Linked DNA regions of Rattus norvegicus. Each later gene encodes a partner of the first gene's protein in a complex. Links are inferred from orthologs where the notes say so. Each region holds a gene or a part of one and is shown in the gene's direction. Other genes may lie near its edges. The genes, in order: Gna13, Gpr4, S1pr2, Gpr35 and Adgrd1.

Region 1 (4,107 bases):
CAGACAGGCATCAAACCGCCTTTCCCCTTTGAAACTGACAAAGAATGAAGAAGTTGGCTTCTGAGGTCTTTGCTACACAGTCACTCAGATGTCACTTGTCACGTGTTCCCTGGGAGTCTTTTCAGGTGTTAGGCCTGATCTGCTGGTGTGACAGAAAAAAAAATTTTTCTTGTCTGTCATATCCTCTGAAGTCTGGCAGGAAACCTAAAATGTGCCTGCCGCAGTCCTAGGCTGAACGCTTATCTGCTTCCTTGGGAAGAATGAGCATCGCATCATAGTGTCCGGTTTAGGGGGATTTTCAACATGACCTCACCCTCTCCACCATTCACTGACCTCAGCAGGCATTACCCAAGTCACAAATGCAGCCCGGCTGGGAATCCACATTAGTGAGCCAGCCAGGGCAGGTTATCAATAGTGCCCTGAGCTGCTAGGAAGAGGTGTTGATCAATAAGGACATCCGACATCTACTTATCCTTCGGGATGGTTAGGATGGCAGGGGTAGGGTGAGGGCCGTGGGGGGGGGAGGCGGTGACCGCTGCTAATTAAGTGCACGAGCTTGAAATAAAGCCCTGGCCGGCCTGTAATACCAGAAGTAGACAGGGAGGCTGAGATAAGACAATTGTCACAGATTTAAGCCAGCTACAGCCGCAGGGAACTTGTCTCAAGAATTTAAAAAAAAAAAAAAAAAAAGGCAAAATGTAACGAATGCCCTGGTCCGTGCAGGGATGTCCCAGCCAATGGTCGCGTGAAGGTGACAGTAAGCGGCGGGCGAGGAACTATGGGAAAGAGCAGTGGAAACTGTAGAGATAAGGATGCCTTAACGGAAAGGGGTCTGGATGGGCTTTGCTTACTCGCCTCGGGGCTCCGGGAAACGGTGGCACTAAAGGGAAACAGAAACTCTGGATCCGCAGGCGCGCGCGCGCCCAGGTTGGCCCACGTGACCCCGGACTCCGCAGTTCTCCGCGCGCGCTCCTGGCCTCAGCCAGGCCAGCGAGCGCGTGACTCGCGCCGCCCCCCCCAGCCCCCGCTGCGTGCCTGCGTGCGCGCACCCGGCAGGCGGCGGGCGCGCGCACGCCCAGAGGGCCGCCGCCCCTCCCCGGGCCCGCCCTCCTTCCCTCCCACCCTCCCCCGGCCGGCGCGTCCCGCCCTGGCGAGTCAGTCCTCGGGTTCCCTCCCTCCCCGGGCGCGCTCGGGCCGCCGCTGCGCTCCCCGCCCTCCAGCCGCCTTGCCGGAGCCACCCGCTGCCGGAGGAGGAGGTGGAGGAGCCGCAGGGGCCCGCCGAGGCGGCGGCGGCGGCAAGATGGCGGACTTCCTGCCGTCGCGCTCCGTGCTGTCCGTGTGCTTCCCGGGCTGCGTGCTGACGAACGGCGAGGCCGAGCAGCAGCGCAAGTCCAAGGAGATCGACAAATGCCTGTCGCGGGAGAAGACCTACGTGAAGCGGCTGGTGAAGATCCTGCTGCTGGGCGCGGGCGAGAGCGGCAAGTCCACCTTCCTGAAGCAGATGCGGATCATCCACGGCCAGGACTTCGACCAGCGCGCGCGCGAGGAGTTCCGCCCCACCATCTACAGCAACGTGATCAAAGGTGCGGGGCGCGGCGGGGCTTGGGGACCCCAGGGGAGCCGGGCTGGGCACCGCCCTCACCCGCCGGTCCCAAGTCTGAGGAGACCGAACCAGACCAGATCGGACGGGCAATCCTGTGGGCGCGCCTCGGTCACCGTCCTGTGCGCTGCGGTGCCCGAGTCCCTTCGATCCGGGACGCCCTGCTGTCCCCCCGCCCCCTCCCCGTGCTACCCCAGTGAGGGTCACGGTCGGCCCCGCACTCCGCGGCTGGCCTCGCCCCCTCCGAGAGGGAAGTGCGGCGAGCAGAGTGACTCGGGGCAGCGGGGCAACTTGTGTCCTCCCTGAACTCCAGGCACGACCACCCATCAGTAGCTTTAGGTTCTATTCTTCTTCCCTTATTTGCCCGTCCAGAGTGGGTGACTCTAGTAACCCGGTCTGTCACCCTTACAGCTCTGGGCGTCCTAGGCCACCTCTTGACTTAAGCAAGTTCTGGAACGGTCGTAATGAGGAAACTTTTTTTTGCCCTGAGACTCTTGTCAAGGGCATAGAGTGACAGCCTCTAGAGCCTTTTGAGGTAAGAGTATGAAACTCGCGTTTACTGAACTGGCATCAGGAAAGTCTATTAAAAAAAATAGCGCCAGTGGTTTTATCGGCTCATTGCTACAGGATGTTTGTAATTACAGCCCAACATGTTGCACACTTTTTTTTCTTTTTGCTTAATAACTTGAGGCAGGAGAAAAACGGCATCGTTACCAATGCTTAAACGAATTCATGTTTAAATATAAAGACCCTTTGGCATAAAAGTCTTAGAAGACCATCCAAGACAAGTTAGTGAGAGGCGGGGAATATGCATTGAGTTGGATGATGGGCTTTACAAATCCTGTTGAACAGTGTTTTAAAGACTGTTCCTAAGTGAAAACCACACAAAGTATTCCTTAGTGTTCAGATAAGTCGCGGAGGTGGCTTTTTATTTTGTCATTTAAAAGAATCGCCCTTTTTTCCCCTTTAGTGTCAAATATTTTCTGTGTAAGAGAAGTTGGCAGGATTGGGGCACAGCAGCCGATTTCTGAGGGGTCGAGGAGTCACCCTATTAAATCTTGGGCTCAGAAGCAAACTGTAAGATTGTAGGTCTTTTCAGGGAGTTGTTTCAAAGCCAGTTTTTTGTTGTTGTTCAAGAAGTGCATAAGCAAACTCCCTCATGGGTCCCTTCCTCCCCCCATCAGTGTTTCAAGTAGGGAAGAACTAAAGAGGATTCGCTGCTGGGCAGTGAGAGGAGAGGGCAGGGCGAGGCCAAGAGCAGACCATGGCTTGCTCTTACTTAAGACCTTGTACCTTTGCTGTTAAGTGAAAAGGATGGTTGTGGGTAGTCTGCCTTAATGCTCAGCACAAAACTAATTAAAGTCTCCTCTAAGGCTGTAAACTGCACCTTGCCAGCCCTTAATTGAAGGTACCTTTGTATCCTGATACAGTTGAACTTAAAAGAATTATGTTAATGAACAGACTTGTGAGTGAGGGAAATCACCTGCTTTTCCTTATACACTGGGCCTAAGAGCTACTTTGAGCATTATTGTGTGATCAAGTCTAAGTCTAACTAGGCATCTTATTTTCTTCAATCGCCGTGGTCAGAAAAGTGAAAGCTTAATTTTTTTTCTTCGAGTATCCTAAGAAATGACTTCCCGGTGACAGAAGTAGCAGTGTAGCCACAGGGTCGTGGAGTTCGGGCTAACCTGTGTAAGTGCAGTCTCGGATTATTTTGCAGTTGGTTTTCCTTTTGGGTAACTCTACAGCCAGTGTGTGACTGCACTGATTAGAAGCTTGGACTGAGGAAGCTTTGAGGTTCAGTGTGTCCTAGAAGATAGTGTGGGCAGGGAGCTGAAGGACTACGACTGCACACCGTAAACCGTTCTTAGCGTGTGCCAGGCTGACTTTAGCCTGGCTTCAGGCTAGACAACATTATTTATTTTTTCCGTCTCTGGTTTTGACTGCCCTCCTCCAGAAATGGTTTTTATGAATCGCAGCATATTAAAATCCTTCCCAAAGTGTTCTTGTTATTAATATTTTCAAGGCTTCTGGTTTTGAGAAACAATGAACACTTACTTGTTTCTTAACTCTGAGAACATAAAGGTTTTGTTTTGATTTTGGTCTCCATTTTGGAAGTGGGGCTTCTGTGATAGCTAAAAATTAAGGAACCAATACTGACCAACCCTGGGGCCAAAGCCTCTGGTGGTATCTTCATGACTCTTCCTCACAGTTTTTTTTTTTTTTTCTTTTTAAACAAAGGTATGAGGGTGCTGGTAGATGCCCGAGAGAAGCTTCATATTCCCTGGGGAGATAACAAAAACCAGGTCCACGGAGACAAGTTGATGGCATTTGATACCCGAGCTCCCATGGCTGCCCAGGGGATGGTGGAGACTCGAGTTTTTTTGCAGTATCTTCCTGCTATAAGAGCCTTATGGGATGACAGTGGCATACAGAATGCCTACGATCGGCGCCGGGAATTCCAACTGGTAAGACATTCGCTTGTCTAAAATGTGTTTTTATTTATC
Region 2 (3,266 bases), on another chromosome or scaffold:
TGTCTACTATAAACATGTAGATCTTCGCAGAATAAAGGTTCCGGGTCCTTACTGGACAGCGGGTAAAGGAGAGGGACGCCTGTGAGGGCTGCGCCCCCTGCTGGCTGCAACTCGTGTCCCTAACCATGACCTTTTCAGAGTCTAACAACTCCTGCTCTGCCCCACTGTCAACCCCGAGGTCCTTTTACGCCAGTGGGACTCTGGGAAACGAAGGGCTGTCTGGGAAAGGGGGCTGAGGGCAGAGACTTCCCACCTTGGGCATCAGGACCTTGGACAGATCTGAGTGGTGCTCCTTGTCAAAGCTGTATCTGCTCTCTGTTAAAGAGCATATGCATGCGCGCTTGCTTCCGCTTGCCTTTCTGTATAAGCGGGAGTCAGAGGACAACCTATAGAATTGGTTCCTTTCTTCCACCGTGTGAGTTCCTGGAATCGAACTCTAGTTGTAAAGCTCCTTTCCCCATTGAGCCATCTCCACACTCCTCACCATCCACTGCTTACTTAAAAACACGTTTTCATAGCTTCAAACCCAGTATGTAGTGGAGGATGACTTTGAACTCCTAACTGTCCATCCTCCACCTTCTGGTTCAAAGACACATGCCGACATTTTGGGTCTTTAATTTGTATTTGGAAAGTCCCTCTATTGCCCAGCACCCTAAATCCTATGCTCTTAGACATCTCTGCCTCAGGGTGATACTCAGGCTTTGTTGGGGTGTTCCTTTTGTCTTCCACAGGAATAACGGGAAGGTCCTGGGGAGGCCAGTATGGACATCCATGCCAGTTTCTCTAATGTTTTCTCTCCCCTCAGGCCTAGTGACCTCAGCTATCAGTACAGTCGTGAGTGGGACAACCTCATCTCCACTCCTCAGTCTCCACCAGGATCAACTGAGTCTCCTGGAACCCCCTTCGGAGTCCCCCTCCTACCCACAATCCTCTTGTGCTCCGCCACTTACTCACCTTCCTGTTTCCTAGCATCCCTTCCTACAGTCACCAGCCCTTACAAGCCCTTCCTCTTTGCCCATCCCCAGAGGAGACCTCACTTTCCTTCCCCCATTGGTGACTTTACATAGTTCTCTGTTTCCTGCTGCGGTCCTAGCAGATGCCAGCATTCTAAGTTGCATCCTGCCAACTCTGTAACTTCTCTCAAAGCTCCCCTGTGTCTTCCCTTAGTGTTCTAGAACATTCAATCCCACTGGTACTTCATCATGTCCCTATTGACAATAAGCATGACACCTCTGGTGTCTTCATCTCCCCCGTAAACACTGCCTTCACCTATTTTTCTGGTGCCCCCATCTTTGCGCTCTGGTTGTTGTGCAGAAACCCCCACTGACATTAGTCCCACCTCTTATCCTATCTCCATCACTCCTTGACGTTCTTCCTCTCAAGTTCTCCTTTTGCTTAGCCTACCACAAAGCAACTCGGATCTCACTCCTTGTGAACTGTCTCCTGTGATGCTTCCCTGAGCCTCCAAAGAGGGGGCTCAGGGGGCCTGATGGCCTCCCGCCCCCCGTGGCCCTGTAGCCCCAGTGGGCCAGGGGAAGCGCCTGGGAAGTCCCATCGCCCAGGATGGACAACAGCACGGGCACGTGGGAGGGCTGCCATGTGGACTCTCGAGTGGACCACCTCTTCCCACCATCCCTCTACATCTTCGTCATCGGGGTGGGGCTGCCCACCAACTGCCTGGCCCTGTGGGCAGCCTACCGCCAGGTGCGCCAGCGCAATGAGCTGGGCGTCTACCTGATGAACTTGAGCATCGCAGACCTGCTGTACATCTGTACGCTGCCGCTGTGGGTCGACTACTTCCTCCACCATGACAACTGGATCCACGGCCCCGGCTCCTGCAAGCTCTTTGGCTTCATCTTCTACAGCAACATCTACATCAGCATCGCCTTCCTGTGCTGCATCTCCGTGGACCGCTACCTGGCTGTGGCCCATCCGCTGCGCTTTGCGCGCCTGCGCCGGGTCAAGACAGCAGTAGCTGTGAGCTCCGTGGTCTGGGCCACCGAGCTAGGCGCCAACTCGGCACCGCTCTTTCATGACGAGCTCTTTCGTGATCGCTACAACCACACCTTCTGCTTCGAGAAGTTCCCCATGGAGCGCTGGGTGGCCTGGATGAACCTGTACCGCGTCTTTGTGGGGTTCCTCTTCCCCTGGGCACTCATGTTGCTGTGCTACCGCGGCATCCTGCGGGCCGTACAGAGCAGTGTGTCCACCGAGCGCCAGGAGAAAGTCAAGATCAAACGCCTGGCCCTGAGCCTCATCGCCATCGTGCTGGTGTGCTTTGCACCCTACCATGCTCTCTTGCTGTCTCGCAGCGCTGTCTATCTGGGCCGGCCCTGGGACTGTGGCTTCGAGGAGCGAGTCTTCTCTGCCTACCACAGCTCCCTAGCCTTCACCAGCCTCAATTGCGTGGCTGACCCCATCCTCTACTGCCTGGTCAACGAGGGTGCCCGTAGTGACGTGGCCAAAGCCCTGCACAACCTCCTCCGCTTCCTGGCCAGCAACAAGCCCCAGGAGATGGCCAATGCTTCCCTCACCCTGGAGACACCATTGACCTCCAAGAGGAGCACCACCGGCAAAACGTCTGGGGCTGTCTGGGCAGTGCCTCCCACTGCCCAGGGGGACCAGGTGCCACTGAAGGTGCTGCTGCCCCCGGCACAGTGAGCCCCATGCCCAACTGTCATCCTGCACCCTCCCCATTGTATGCAAATGTATGTAAATATGGCCATGTGGATATTCATACGAATACAAGAGAAAAATGAGGTTGGTGTGTCTCTCTCAGCCATCTTCTTCCACTATGATGCCCAATGATTCACTTTATTCCAGCAGGGCCTGAAGGGGAGTGACACAGCTGGGAGTTTGTCATCATGGACTCCCAGATGGCGAGTCAGCCATGGAGAGTTTGGGATGAGGGGATAATCAAGTCAACTGTTTGGTTTCTAGACAGAAGAGTCTGATCAGATGCTACAAGTTTGTGACTCCAGCTACTTGGGAAGCTGAGGAAGAATTTGGAAGTTCAAGACCCACTTGGACTACAAAGTGAGACCCTGTCTCAAAGTGTTAAACACAGCAAAGCCTGGGGAAGTAACCTAGCAGTGTTTATCTAAAATCCCCAGGGAGGAGCTGGGGCATGGCTCAGTGGTAGAGCCCTACCTAGAATCCCCCAGTGAGAGGTTGGGGGCGTGGCTCACTGGTAGAGCCCCTGCCTAGAATCCCCCAGTGAGGGGCTGGGGGCGTGGCTCACTGGTAGAGCCCCTGACTGGAATCCA
Region 3 (4,238 bases), on another chromosome or scaffold:
GTGTGTTTAATTTTTCTGTTTTGCTTTTAATTACGTGCAACTGTGGGTATGTGCACGTGAGTGCAAGTGCCCTTGAGGCTGAAAGTGTTGGATCCCCCAGGGACTGGACTCATAAGAGGTTGTCAGGTCTGAGGATGCTGGCAAGTTCTGTCCTCGCAAGAGCAGGAAGTGCTCTTGACCATTTGAGCCATTTCTTTGGCACCTTTTAACAATTTACTAATTTTAACTTCATATCTCTGAGTGTGCGCATGCATGCGGGTGTGCACAGGCGTCAGGGCAGCAGTCCTTGGAGGCCACAGGGCAACTTGCAGGAATTGGTGGTTCTCGCTCTCCACCAGGTGGGTCCCAGCAGGGCCTTACCCACTGAGGGCTCAGCAGCCTGTTACTCTTTGTTTTTTAATGCATTTGTTGTGTATGTATCGGTGTGCGCAAGCAGGTGTAGCAATGCCAATGTGTCCTGTGGAGGTCGGAGGCCAACTTTGTTTCCAGGAGCTGAACTCACGTCACGCTTCCAGGCAAGCAAGCACTTTCCCCTCCCTGCCTAGTGGAGCCAGACAGCTGGCCTTCTGTTACTCTAATTTTGGAATTTTTTTCACTCTGACTCGTTTGGAGGGCCAGAGCCAACAGGATCATGTGATCAAGACTGGCCTTGAACTCTAAAACATACCTCCTGCTTCTACTTCACAAGGGCTGGAATTAGATGTCCAAGCCACCATTCCATATTTTTGCAGCGTTGGGGATGCACGCTAGGCAAACACTCAACCGCCTGAATCCACGGCCCCGCCTGTTGTTTTTCAGAAAGGGTCTTGAGCAGGCAGTACTGGCTACGGCTGCTAGGTACATTAAACTCCTGATCTTCCGACCTTCTAGGTGGCAAATGCTGGGATGACAGGCATTTGTGCCACAAACACCCAGTTCGATTTGAGGGTTCTTACCAAGTCAATGAACAGTTCTATTTTGAGGACAGGACATGGCACAATGTAGGAAGTAATTTCTTGTAGAAACACAAAGTAGGTGCTTAATCCTGAATTGCTGAGTCCTCACATAGTAGGTAAGCGTGATTTCCTCCATTTTCAGGTCCCAGGTGTCAGCCTGGAGCTAAGCCAAATGGAAATACAGTTGTTTCAGGACTAGGCCACCTGGGTTAAGAGAGCTGTGACGTCACGCGGCCGTGACATCATGCGACGGCAGTTCTCACGAGTGGGGGCTGGGAGGAGCAGGGCGGGATGGGGGGGGGGCTGGTGCGGACAAAGGGACCATGCTCTTCCCCCTTGCACGCTCTGGCTAACTGGAGGGCCACATCTGGAATTCATTGCAAGTCGCAGCCGGAAAGAGGAGGAGAGTAGGCGGGGCGAGCAGGGAGTTGGGGCCGGAGGCGGCGGCTCTGCCCGCCTCTCTCTTGTCCTGGGTCCCCAACTCCGGGACATAGACCGAGCACAGCCAACAGTCACCAAAGTCAGCCACTGGCTGTCCCGGGGCGCAGACGCCAAGGCCACTCAGGCCAGGGCAGGGACCCTGGCCGGCCTAGCCAGGTGAGCGCGCGGGGCAAAGGGGAGGTTCCGATCTGGGCGGGCCGCGCTCCACTGAGACCCAGGGATCCCAGCTTGGGGGCCTGGCCCGGGGTCAGGCGCTCGTACAGGCGTTGCACGCGCTGCTCCAGGTTCTGCTGCACCGAAGGGACCGATCATCCACCATGCGCCCCTGCCCACCACTCCAGGCAGCTCCCCACTAACTCTGTGGCGCACCCCCAGACTGAGCTCCCCGCCTTCCTTCGGGCAGGAAGTTGGCGCTGTAGAGAAAGGCGGAATCCGACCTCTTTGGGCTGGCGACTTTGCAAGACTGGATGGGGGTTCTGAGGAAGCAGAGTTTGGGGCAGTGAGGTTGTTAGGGAGAGGTGCAGCATCCCTTCTTTCTCCGGCTTGAGTTAGGATGAAAGGTGCTACATAGAAGCCGCGGATGCTCGGAGGTCATGGGCGGGGTCCCTGGCCTAGACCATCGCTCTACCGCCAGTGAGACTAGTTTTTGGGGGGTTTTTTTGTTTTTGTTTTTGTTTTGTTTTGTTTTTTGCCTCAGTTTCCCTTAGTTGCCCCTCTCCTTCAGTCTACCTTTCGGGAGAATCACTTTGTTTCGAAGTAAAGGGATTTGAACTGCAAAGTCCTGGTATCTCCTCTTCTCGTCCTAGCCCAGGGATGGGGCGTAGGAGTGAAGGAAGGCACGCGTGGCGTGGAGTCCGCGTCGTCGCGGGCTACACAGCTTGGAACCTCGCCCCCTTCTACAGCACGGGTTGACTCACCCGGGGATTTCCATCTCCCCCACCCCCGTCCCTATCCTTGTTAGATACCCGAGGCGACACCCGCTGAGCCTACTGTCCCCTGTGGGGCAACGTGGGTGCATCACTGATGGGGGAGGGAATGTAGTTACTGGTAGCTACTCTCTCCTTTGCCCCGGGAATCTAGATGTGGGGGCTCTCTGGTGGGATGCAGAGTGTCGCCTCCCCCTATTGCCTTGTGCAGGATAGGGACATTCTGCGCGCGTGTCGGGGTCTCGGGAGAGAGATGGCGCCGCCCCAGCGCGAGCGAATCTGGATACCACGCATTCCTCGGCCTGATAAGGAGCCCGGAGAGTGCTGCCTGAGCCGGGCGGGTCTTACTGTCGTCGCTATGGAGACGCTCCTGGCTTCGTGTAGTGGTTGGGGAGGGGTGCTGCCAGGGGACTGATGTCCTCATGCTTTGCATGTTAGCCCTCCAATTTGGGGCTCTTTCATTCATTCATCATGGCACGGGAGGCTGAGGGTGAACTTGGTAGCTGGCCTCACACCGTACTGTGGAAAACAAGATAATTTCCGATGATAAAGCCAGATGCTCTGATAGAAATTGGGGCTGGGCTGTGCTGGACAAAACTCTCGGTTCTTTAATCCCAGTGCTCAAGAGGCCGAGTTAAGGGGGCATCTTTGTGAATTCAAGGCCAGCTTGCTATACATGAGTTGTGAGTTTCTGGTCAACCTGGGATACCCAGTAAGGCACTGTCCCCAAAACGAAAACAAATCGAGAAGGTAGTTCCTGAAGGCCTAGACAGTGACGGTCAAATGAAATCCAAAGATAAGATAGTCTGCCAGAAAAGGTGTTTGTGTGTGGGCGGTGTGTGTATGTGTGTGTGGGGGGGTCTGTAGGATATACCAGAGGCAACTATAGCGGGTCTGAAGGCCCTGAGATCCAGATTCAGATGGGTCTTGGGAGGTTAGTGTGGTGTACACTTGCGCCGTAGGGAGCCCTAGGAGAGTGTGGCGGGTGGGGTGAGGATGAATTTCGGAGTTCTGTCAGTTCTCCCCTGCAAGCTTGGTGGGCAGCAGCCATGTAGGAGGGGCTACACCCACACAGCAACCAAAGGGGTGGGGGGAGGCTCCTGCAGGGCTGAGCTTCCCCAGCTGCTTGGGAGGGATGAGTGAGCTCTGGAACTGGGAGGGAGTGGAGGGGAGCCACCAGGCCTTCCTTCAGCCTTCCTCTCCACTAATCTTTAGCTAAGCAGTCATGTCTGGGTCTATCTCTCTTCCTTCACTCCAAACCCTTTCACTTGCTCCTCTTCCTCATATCTTTTCTGCAGTCCTGGGAACCCAGGGCTTCAAAATGATGCAGTGTCTCTAAGCCACACCAAATTCTCTTAATTTTATGTATTTATGGACTGGGTCTCATTGGGTCTCACCAGGTAACTCTAATGCCCTGAAACTCACTACGTAGATCAGGCTGGCCTCAAATTCACAGAGATTTGCATGTCTGTCTCTCAAGTGTGAAGATTAAAAGTGTGCACCCCAACACAGTGCTTTTTTAATACATTTTAAACTTACACTTATTTATTTTGTGGGCATGTATATATGTGTGGGCATGTGTGTTTCATGGCATGGGTGTGCAAGTCAGAAAAAAATCTTTTGCAAGTCATTTCTCTGTGGGGGTAGTGGGGCTGGATCAAGTCTCCAAGCTTGGTGACAAGTCGAGCCATCTCAACATCTCCCAGCCTTCCCATTTAACTTTTACTTGAGTCAGGGTCTCCTTGTGCTACCCAAGCTAACCTCCAACTCATTATGTAGCCTAGGCTGGTTTTGAACTCTCCATCTTCCTCAGCTCCCTGTGTTGCTGGGCTTATAGGTATGAACCAGTCAGGCTCATTTCCAATAGAGCCTAGTCTCTATGACAACTTCCCCTGCCTCTAAAAGGCAATCTGGACCACTGTGTGGAGGTGGGACA
Region 4 (4,294 bases), on another chromosome or scaffold:
TTCAGAACCAGCCTGGGAAAGTTAGTAAGATCCTGTATAAAAATAAAAGGCAAAAAGAGGGCCATAATGTTCTAGTATACTCCCTCAACCCCACCATCTCACACACACACACACACACACACACACACACACATGCACGCACACGCACACACTTAGAAAGACTTGGTTGTTGTTGTTGTTTTGTTTCGTTTTGTTTTTCAAGACAGGGTTTCTCTGCGTAGCCCTGGCTGTCCTGGAACTGTGTTGACCAGGTTGGTTTTGAACTCAGAGATCCTCCTGCCTCTGGCTCCTAAGTGCTGAAATTAAAGGTGTGTGTGCACCACCACCGCCCAACTTAAAAATAGATTTTAGACACAGAATACCCTCTTGCCTCTTACAGCTCTGCAGTGCTCCATGCTGCCAGCCTTGCAGACTCAAGTGTGAGGCTATGACCACTCTGTAGGTCTGCACTGCATTGCTGACCCTGAAGCATTCGCTCATCATTTTCTCACTGTCTGGGGTAGATTCCTAGATATGAGGTTATCGGGTCAGATAATTATCACAGTTCTCGTTTTGCCTGACATCTAACATCTTAGGGATCAATGAGTCATGCCAGAGGAAGTCACTCAGATCAACACGACTTTTGGACATGTACCCGTTTGATGGAGAGGGGTCACAGTGCTGTAGAGAGCTGCATTTGTGCCTGTCTTCCCTTGATCAGGCTGGATAACTTTTTCATATCTCTAACAGTTCACGCACATGTGTGTCTATCATCAGCCACATCTTGCTCAACCTTGGAGGAAGTGGCTCAGAGGGCTGGTGGCCCTGGAGTAGCTGTGAGAACCCTCAGTCCCGTGTTTCTCAAGAAGGCTGCCTTCGTGTGTCTAAGGCACCAATTAAGCCAACTCCCGGCCCTCCCAAGACATGCTACCTTATGCAAGCAGAAGGCTGGTGTCTGAGGGGAGAGATAGAGTAAGATATTCACTTCACACAACTCTCGTGAGCTGGCTTTTTTTTTTTTTTTTGAGAAAGTGTTTCTCTGTATAGTCCTGGTTGTCCTAGAACTAGCTCTGTAGATCAGGCTGGCCTCGATCTCACAGAGATCCTGCCTCTGTCTCCCAAGTGCTGGGATTAAAGGCATGTTCCACTACTGGCTGGCATGAGCTGACATTTTTGTCCCAGAAGATTTCTTTAGTCTGAGGTCTCTGGCATAGGTCAGGACCTGTGAGCTTTTTTTTTTTTTTTTTTCAAGAAGCCTGTCAAGGCTCCGTATTAGGAGGGTGGGTAGCTAGAGGGGCCCTCAGATTAGAGGTGGATTGTGTGGAGAAGACTCTGCTAGAAAGGTATAGCGTTCTTGAAATCATCTTGAGGCTGGGAAAGACAGTTGGTGACTAGAGGGCTATGAAGGGAGACAGCATCTTCCAGTAGTGGGCCTGGCATGAGGCCAGAAGCCAGCCTTCTAGTCAAGAAAGGGGAAGGAGGGCCAAGAGTGAGGGAGGCAATTTGAGGGCAATAAAGGGCAAAGAGGCTCTAATGAGGCAGAAACTGTCATGTGGGCAGCAACCACGGTCCCATTCCACTGCGTCAGAGGGGGTTCCACAGAGGTGTCTGGCAGCACTAAAACTGAGCAGCACTTGGGGAAGGCCAGCCTGGAGTAGAAGAGCATTGCCTGAGGTGAGTGAACCACCAGGGTGTGAGACTGGATGTCAGTGAGCTTCCCCCTTCCCTCAGTCTGCAGGATCCTCCTGCTGTGATCTCTGGGCAAGGCAGATTCTCTCAGAGGATAATGATTCTTCTGTAGTCTTTGGGGTGTCTGTTGACCTAAACCATCTGTGGACACAAGTTTCCTAGAAGGAAGGATTATACCCGTATGTCTCTCAGGACACATTGGCTGCTGGAGGTGGGTGCTGGCCTCCTACAGAAGAGGGATGAGTGGGGCAGGAAGGACAGTGGCCGTTACTGCCACCACTCAGCACCACCTCGCAATACAGAGCTCTTTAGGACTTAGAACTCTGACAGCTCTTCTCTGGGCCCTCTCAGGAAGTCCATAGACCCCTCTTAGAACTGCTTCAGGATCCCTCAGACCTTATCGGTGTCCCCTCAAGGTCTCCTCAGGCTCCCCTAGAACCCTCAGGATTACTTCAGGCTCTCCTCAGATTCCCTCAGAATCTCTTCAGGACTCTTTCAGATGTCCCCAGAAGTCTTTCATGTCATTCCCCTCAAAGCTCTTGTAAATCTCCCTCAATAACTCCTTTAGTTTTCCTTCAGGGCTCTCTCAGGGTCCTATTCAATATTTGAGGATTCTTTGGGTTTTCACCAAGTCTCTTGAGCATCCTATTGTAGCTTCTTCCCATCAGAGCTCTCAACTATGACCTATGGAAATTTCACCGGCAGAGGACCATAGAGCTAGCATAGGCAGAGGCCAGAGTTGCCCACTGAAGGAATGAACCTGGGCATCAGATCTCTGTGCTGTCTGAGACAGAAGAGAGGCCGGGAAGACGAGAGATGATGAGGGCAAGGTCATTCGCACCAAACAGGGCTGCAGTAATTATGCCGGGAATACGCTTAACTAGTTACAGGTGGACAGAGAGGTTCAGCTTCTGGGAACAGAGCCCGGAAGGAGCTTTTAGCAGCTCCTAGCACAGGCAGCCAAGAAGCAGCAAAGTTGGAGCTGTCCAAGGGAGAGTGAGTACCTCTGAGTGGAAGGATAAGCCTTCATTTCCAGGAAGCCTGGGCATAGTCAGAGAGTCAGTGACTTCACCAGAGGCCGTAGGCTTCCCGGATCTCAGATATGACCAACTACAAAGAGCTTAACCTCAGTGCTTTTCCTGAAACTAAGTTGACTTCTTCTTTTTGCCTTTGCCACATTTTTGTTGAAATGATCATTTTAAATCAGTCTGAGTAGAAAATACAAGCTGGTTTGTGGGGGCATGACAGGCACCTGAGTGGGGAGCGAATCTAGGCCTAGCCAGGCCTGCTCTCTTAGTTCCACGCTCACACCTTTGTCTTCAGACTACCGGCTCTGTCGTAGCCCTGCGTGATTGCATAGATAAATCTCAGAGGCCGTAGGACAATTTTTTGTTTAAGAGAGGATACAGAAAATGGCTGCCTAATCGATCCTTTAGGTCTCCTCACACTTTAGGTCTCCCCAGTGACTCACAACACAAATCACTTTCAGGGTAGAAGTTCTTGCTGTCATAACAGAAAGTTGGAGGAGCCTGAGGGGCCTTATTTATTCAAGAAGGCCAAGAGAGTTGGGGTGCAGACATCAAGGGGCTATATGAGACAAGTTTCAGAGTGAAGGGACCCTACAACAAAGTTACTAGCCGTGTGGCACCATCTCCCTCAACTGCCTGACTGATTTGTCTGTCTAAAGAACTGATGGACTTTGCTCTCCACAGACATCTCCAAGTTAGATGTGGGGTCATTTCTTTATTTTTGCAAACATATGGAAATTTTCAAATACGCAGAAAAGTTGGGGTGGGCAGAGATAACAGTGTCCCAGTCACTCATCCCCACAGAGCCACCTCTGTCAAGTCTGCGTAATGAAGACCCCACTCCCTGTAGCCTTACTCTACCAGGGACTTTCAGGAGAGTCCCAGATCCTGTGACATCCATGAGACACTGCTTGCCTATTGCTCAGATGAGAGTTTTGTAAGAATTAGCTCCTAGACAAAAGTCTGGGCCTTGGCATACAGCTGCTGGACAAGGCCTACAGAGCCATGGACCAGGACAGTGGTTTTCCCCAGGTTCTGGGGTTGGAGGTGAGAGCCCTGGCCTGGTACTTAACTGTACCTTGTCAGGCTCACCTTGTAGAGGAGACAAAGGCACAAGCTCAAAGAGGAGGACAGCAACAGGTGGTCAAAAACACCCAGGAGGAAATCGTGGCATGGGAAATGTCCAGCAGTCCCCATGGAGAGCCGGAGAGAAAGTAGAAAGCTGAGATTAGAGGGATCATGGATGCTGGGCCCTGAAGAAGGGCTGCTGGGTCCAAGGTGGGAGAAGGTGGATGGAGTAAGGGTGTGTCCAGGGTGTCTCATGGCCGCTTCCTGAAAAAGATACCAGGTTGAATGTGGGGGTGGGGGTGGAGGTGGGGAATGAGTGTGGGGAGGGGTGTGGGGTGAGGGGGTTGGGGATGGGGTGGGGTGTGGGGTGAGGGTGGGGTGGGTTGGGGTGGGGGTGGGGGGTGGTGACTTCCAGGTGGGATTTCATTGAGGAGCTGGAAAGCTTGAGATCCTGAGATGGGGAGAGACTTCAGTTCAAGTGGAGCCCAACGGTGTCACCATTTTGGGCACCTTGTTATCCTTTGAGGTGG
Region 5 (3,509 bases), on another chromosome or scaffold:
CCTGTGTAAAATCGTTGTCAGGATCGGGGTGAGCAGGTGGGGTGGAGACCGTCACGAAAAGGTTCACGTTCGCACAACCCAGAGGCAGTCAGCTTGGGTCCGTGTCTGACTTCCTTCTGTCACTCACTGAGTGGTCTCGGTTCCCTCTTCTGTGACTTGGGAATGGGAGCGTTGCACTATTTGGAAGGAGGCGATGGCTCAGGTCGCACTCTCGGGACGGCACTTGTCCCTCACCGGATAGAGCTGTGTCATTTCGTGCCTCTGAAGCACTAACTGATAAATGCCTACTTCTCTCTTCAGGAGTGTCATTTTCATTCTTCTGGAAGACTCAAGGAGAACAGACCCGACCAGCCCCCTACGCTTATGGGGGGCAGGTCGTCTCTGACGGGTTCAAAGTCTGCTTTAGTGGTGGAAAGGGCTCTGTGGAGCTGTACACACGAGATAATTCCATGACGTGGAAGGCCACCTTCAACCCTCCGGGTGAGTGAAGCACCAAAAGGAGCTTCTGTCCCATTAGTGTGGCACAGGGCTCCTTCCTACCAGCAGCTCGAGAAGGTACCAGAAGGATACTGGTCACAAGGTGGCTTCACACCAAGGTCAAAGCCCTATGAGCTCACTGTGTGATTGCTGCTGCCCTAGTGGCTGTGTGAGGCTGGTTTTCTGCATGATGGAGGTGACATGGCAGGTGCCCAGTAATTGTCTGGGACTAAGGTGGAAGCTATGTGCAGAAGACAGACCATGATTTAAATCCCCCTGTCTAGCACCATTCGGTGATATGGCCTTGAAACTGCCCTCACGGTGCAAAATGTTCTGGGGAAGACAGGCTGCTAATCAGAGAGCAGGCAGTAAGGCAGGAGGAGAGGTGGTGGTAGTGTATGGTCTTATTAAGGACGTACCTTTAGAACCAGTCAGAGGGGACTGGGATGCCAAGGGCCTGAGTTTCAGCGTAAGAGAAGAAGCTCTGTGGTATGCTATTAGCTGAGTTGGAGACTGGGCATCTGAAACAAGGAGCAGGAAAGATAGTGTAAGATTTTAGAGGAGGAACGTGACTAGGTCCACAGAAGGATTTCATGTGGCATGCAGGAAGGGCCTGGATAGAAACTAGCCAGGATAGAGTCAGAGGTCTCCATGATAAGCCTTGAGAACAGCGGTTCTCAACTTACCGGTCGAGATTCCCACCGGGGTCACAGATCAGATATACTGCTTATCAGATATTTAAATTACAATTCATTACAACAGCAAGATTACAGTTATGAAGTAGGGGTGAAAATTATTTTATGGGGGGGGGTCATCGCAACACGAGGAACTGTATTATTTTTTTTAAATTTTTTTTCTTTTTTTTTCTTTTTTCCGGAGCTGGGGACCAAACCCAGGGCCTTTCGTTTGCTAGGCAAGCGCTCTACCACTGAGCTAAATCCCCAACCCCGAGGAACTGTATTATTAAAGGGGTGCGGCATTGGTTAAGGTTGAGAACAGTATCTTTGAAGCCGCCCAGCATCCTCTTCTGGCTCATTTGAAGGAGGTGACACAGCTTAATTGTAAAGATGTCAGGCCAGGTCCTAACTCTGTACTTTGTAGCTTTACTGGCCTGGTATCATATTCAAAAACTTTTCTTCCATTTCTTCATTTGTAACTGAGAAGAGTAACAGTTACTATTTCACTGGGAGACAGCCTGCTGATGGATCAAAGGAGTCTTGAACAATGGGTGGCAGAATCCGGGGAGACTTGGGTTTGCTCCGTGGGTGTCGGACTTGCTTCAGCTGAACTCGTAGTTCCTCCTCTGCAAGGTGGGGAAAAGCAGCAAGGGACGATATCAAATTTCTGGATTCTTTCCCACCTCCAAGGCTGGAAACACCTTTGCCTTCCCGCTTGTGGAGGCTCTGTCTGAGTCTCTGCGAAGGCTCTCAGTGAGGACCGCTTGCGGTCAAGGTTTCCTAGGTAACAGCTCATCCCCCCCCCCCCCCCCATGGGCCCTGGGCCTGTGGCAAGCATCAGGCATCTAGCAGGTTCTCTGAAACGGAACATGTGCTGTTTTCCAACCCAGGGATGCCGAGAGAGACTTGTAAACATCCTTTTCTCATCTGCTCCTCATTTGTTCACTGGAGGGCTTTGTTATTCTTGCTTGCAAAGTCAAGCACAATAACGTTTTGTTGGCCCTGCCCAGGGCCCAAGTGTTCCTCAGAGCGTCAAGATTACTGAAGTGTTACGCAATCCCCAGCAGGAAGCTCTGATGTAATCACTGGCAGTCCACAGTGACCCACGGGCAGGGGCGCTGTGTGTCCTTCAGAGGGGGGCTACTCTGTGTCACCTTTGTCAACCCCAGGAGCATGTCTTACACCCAGGCTTACAAAACAGATGTCTTTGTGGGCCAGTCTTCCTACTGATGAGAAGGAGGACCCAGAGGCTTCCAAGGAGGTGTCTGATGGAGCCAGGAGGCTGGCTATAGTCATTGTGTCACCTCATGTTGATTATATATGTTGTCATAGAGGCAATGTCCGGTCAGGCCTTTGAGGTTTTTAGATTCTCAATGTCCGTTGGAGTGAGCTATGACCAGAGGTTGTGATGTCATGTCAAAAGCCAGGTCTTCCAAGTTCCCATTGGAAACAAAAGAGAGTCGCCACCCCGGCTTCGCCTTTTAATGACAGGAGGGGGTAGGGGAGCTGCCTCCTAGTGGAGCGCCCGCCCTCCTATACAGCCTAGTCAGCATGGCGGCCCATCCTCAGTGAAACCAGGTTCCTACTCTGCCTCTTCTTCGGTTCTGTAGACCAGGTGCATGGCCACTAGTCTGGCACGATTATACTATAGCCTCCATGTTTTAAAGCATTAAAAACCCATAGTGAAACTGAGTCCACGGAACAGAGGGCTCCCAGGGGCCTCCCCAGCTCTGTGCATGACCAACCTCCCCACAGCAGCATCCCACCCCTGGACTATGCTTCAGGGATGTGCCGTGCTCATGTGGACGTATTTGGGGGGATGTCGGGGCCCATTCCTGGCATCATACATCTTGTCTGTTGGGGGAGTCTGTTTTGAGCTTGGACCTTTTACCTACCTTTAAGCGGGGTGTTCACTCGCTCACTGTGAGGTCTGAGAGCTCTTTGCCCATTTCGTGTAACAGCATCCACTGAAGATATTTCCCCAGCCATGGCTGGCCTTTTCCTCCTATGCTCAACTTCTTTCACAGAGCAGATGTTTCCAGTTTTAATGGAGACCAGTTTATCACGTTCTATCCCGGATCATGCTTTTTCTGATATACCTATACCTATACCTGTACCATACCTATACCATACCAATACCTATACCATACCAATACCTATACCATACCAATACCTATACCATACCAATACCTATACCATACCTATACCATACCAATACCTATATCATACCTATACCTATACCATACCAATACCTATACCATACCTATACCATATCATACCTATACCATACCATACCTATACCTATACCATACCTGTACCATACCATACCTATACCATATCATACCTATACCATAC

Evidence for each region.
Region 2: the proteins of Gna13 (region 1) and Gpr4 are in contact, whole or in part, in a cryo-EM structure (PDB 9JHP), measured with the Homo sapiens proteins. The link is inferred for Rattus norvegicus from reciprocal best matches to the Homo sapiens genes GNA13 and GPR4. Residues at the interface, in NP_006563.2 of Homo sapiens: Arg47, Pro341, Tyr343, Phe359, Lys363, Asp364, Ile366, Leu367, His368, Asn370, Leu371, Lys372, Gln373, Leu374, Met375, Leu376, Gln377; in NP_005273.1 of Homo sapiens: Gln45, Asn50, Arg115, Ala118, Val119, Ala120, Pro122, Leu123, Ala126, Ile204, Val208, Ser211, Val212, Ser213, Thr214, Glu218, Lys221, Ile222, Leu225, Asn290, Glu291, Gly292, Ala293.
Region 3: the proteins of Gna13 (region 1) and S1pr2 are in contact, whole or in part, in a cryo-EM structure (PDB 7T6B), measured with the Homo sapiens proteins. The link is inferred for Rattus norvegicus from reciprocal best matches to the Homo sapiens genes GNA13 and S1PR2. Residues at the interface, in NP_006563.2 of Homo sapiens: Arg47, Val216, Phe359, Lys363, Asp364, Ile366, Leu367, His368, Asp369, Asn370, Leu371, Gln373, Leu374, Met375, Leu376, Gln377; in NP_004221.3 of Homo sapiens: Ser66, Met68, Tyr69, Leu72, Arg130, Ala133, Ile134, Lys136, Val137, Lys138, Leu139, Tyr140, Tyr209, Ile212, Val216, Ser219, Gln227, Thr228, Leu231, Leu232, Val235, Tyr288.
Region 4: the proteins of Gna13 (region 1) and Gpr35 are in contact, whole or in part, in a cryo-EM structure (PDB 8H8J), measured with the Homo sapiens proteins. The link is inferred for Rattus norvegicus from reciprocal best matches to the Homo sapiens genes GNA13 and GPR35. Residues at the interface, in NP_006563.2 of Homo sapiens: Lys46, Arg47, Leu48, Val49, Lys214, Asn215, Val216, Phe218, Arg331, Gln337, Gln338, Lys340, Pro341, Leu342, Tyr343, Phe359, Arg360, Asp361, Lys363, Asp364, Ile366, Leu367, His368, Asn370, Leu371, Lys372, Gln373, Leu374, Met375, Leu376; in NP_005292.2 of Homo sapiens: Phe45, Gln51, Thr53, Thr55, Met59, Asp113, Arg114, Ala117, Val118, Pro121, Leu122, Arg123, Arg125, Arg128, Ala197, Leu198, Arg201, Pro202, Thr204, Asp205, Gly207, Gln208, Ala211, Ala215, Met218, Val219, Ala280, Lys281, Glu282.
Region 5: the proteins of Gna13 (region 1) and Adgrd1 are in contact, whole or in part, in a cryo-EM structure (PDB 9V0U), measured with the Homo sapiens proteins. The link is inferred for Rattus norvegicus from reciprocal best matches to the Homo sapiens genes GNA13 and ADGRD1. Residues at the interface, in NP_006563.2 of Homo sapiens: Val49, Val216, Phe218, Phe359, Val362, Lys363, Asp364, Ile366, Leu367, His368, Asn370, Leu371, Gln373, Leu374, Met375; in NP_942122.2 of Homo sapiens: Asn599, Arg601, Leu657, Met660, Val661, Ile662, Val664, Phe665, Ser667, Val737, Ile738, Ile741, Ala761, Val764, Asn810.

Annotation. Positions count from the first base shown.
Region 1 is NC_086028.1:94,836,156-94,840,262, forward strand, and holds the start of Gna13 (guanine nucleotide-binding protein subunit alpha-13), read left to right. Parts: upstream 1-1,300; coding exon 1,301-1,583; intron 1,584-3,841; coding exon 3,842-4,068; exon of another isoform or gene 4,069-4,107. UniProt on the Homo sapiens protein: Guanine nucleotide-binding proteins (G proteins) are involved as modulators or transducers in various transmembrane signaling systems.
Region 2 is NC_086019.1:88,001,809-88,005,074, forward strand, and holds Gpr4 (G-protein coupled receptor 4), read left to right. Parts: upstream 1-1,270; 5' UTR 1,271-1,563; coding exon 1,564-2,661; 3' UTR 2,662-2,759; downstream 2,760-3,266. UniProt on the Homo sapiens protein: Proton-sensing G-protein coupled receptor activated by extracellular pH, which is required to monitor pH changes and generate adaptive reactions. Activated by an optimal pH of 6.8-7.2.
Region 3 is NC_086026.1:27,787,538-27,791,775, reverse strand, and holds the start of S1pr2 (sphingosine 1-phosphate receptor 2), read left to right. Parts: upstream 1-1,431; 5' UTR 1,432-1,532; intron 1,533-4,238. UniProt on the Homo sapiens protein: Receptor for the lysosphingolipid sphingosine 1-phosphate (S1P). S1P is a bioactive lysophospholipid that elicits diverse physiological effects on most types of cells and tissues.
Region 4 is NC_086027.1:100,973,088-100,977,381, forward strand, and holds the start of Gpr35 (G-protein coupled receptor 35), read left to right. Parts: upstream 1-1,492; 5' UTR 1,493-1,653; intron 1,654-4,294. UniProt on the Homo sapiens protein: G-protein coupled receptor that binds to several ligands including the tryptophan metabolite kynurenic acid (KYNA), lysophosphatidic acid (LPA) or 5-hydroxyindoleacetic acid (5-HIAA) with high affinity, leading to rapid and transient activation of numerous intracellular signaling pathways.
Region 5 is NC_086030.1:33,212,278-33,215,786, reverse strand, and holds part of Adgrd1 (adhesion G-protein coupled receptor D1), read left to right. Parts: intron 1-300; coding exon 301-480; intron 481-3,509. UniProt on the Homo sapiens protein: Adhesion G-protein coupled receptor (aGPCR) for androgen hormone 5alpha-dihydrotestosterone (5alpha-DHT), also named 17beta-hydroxy-5alpha-androstan-3-one, the most potent hormone among androgens. Also activated by methenolone drug.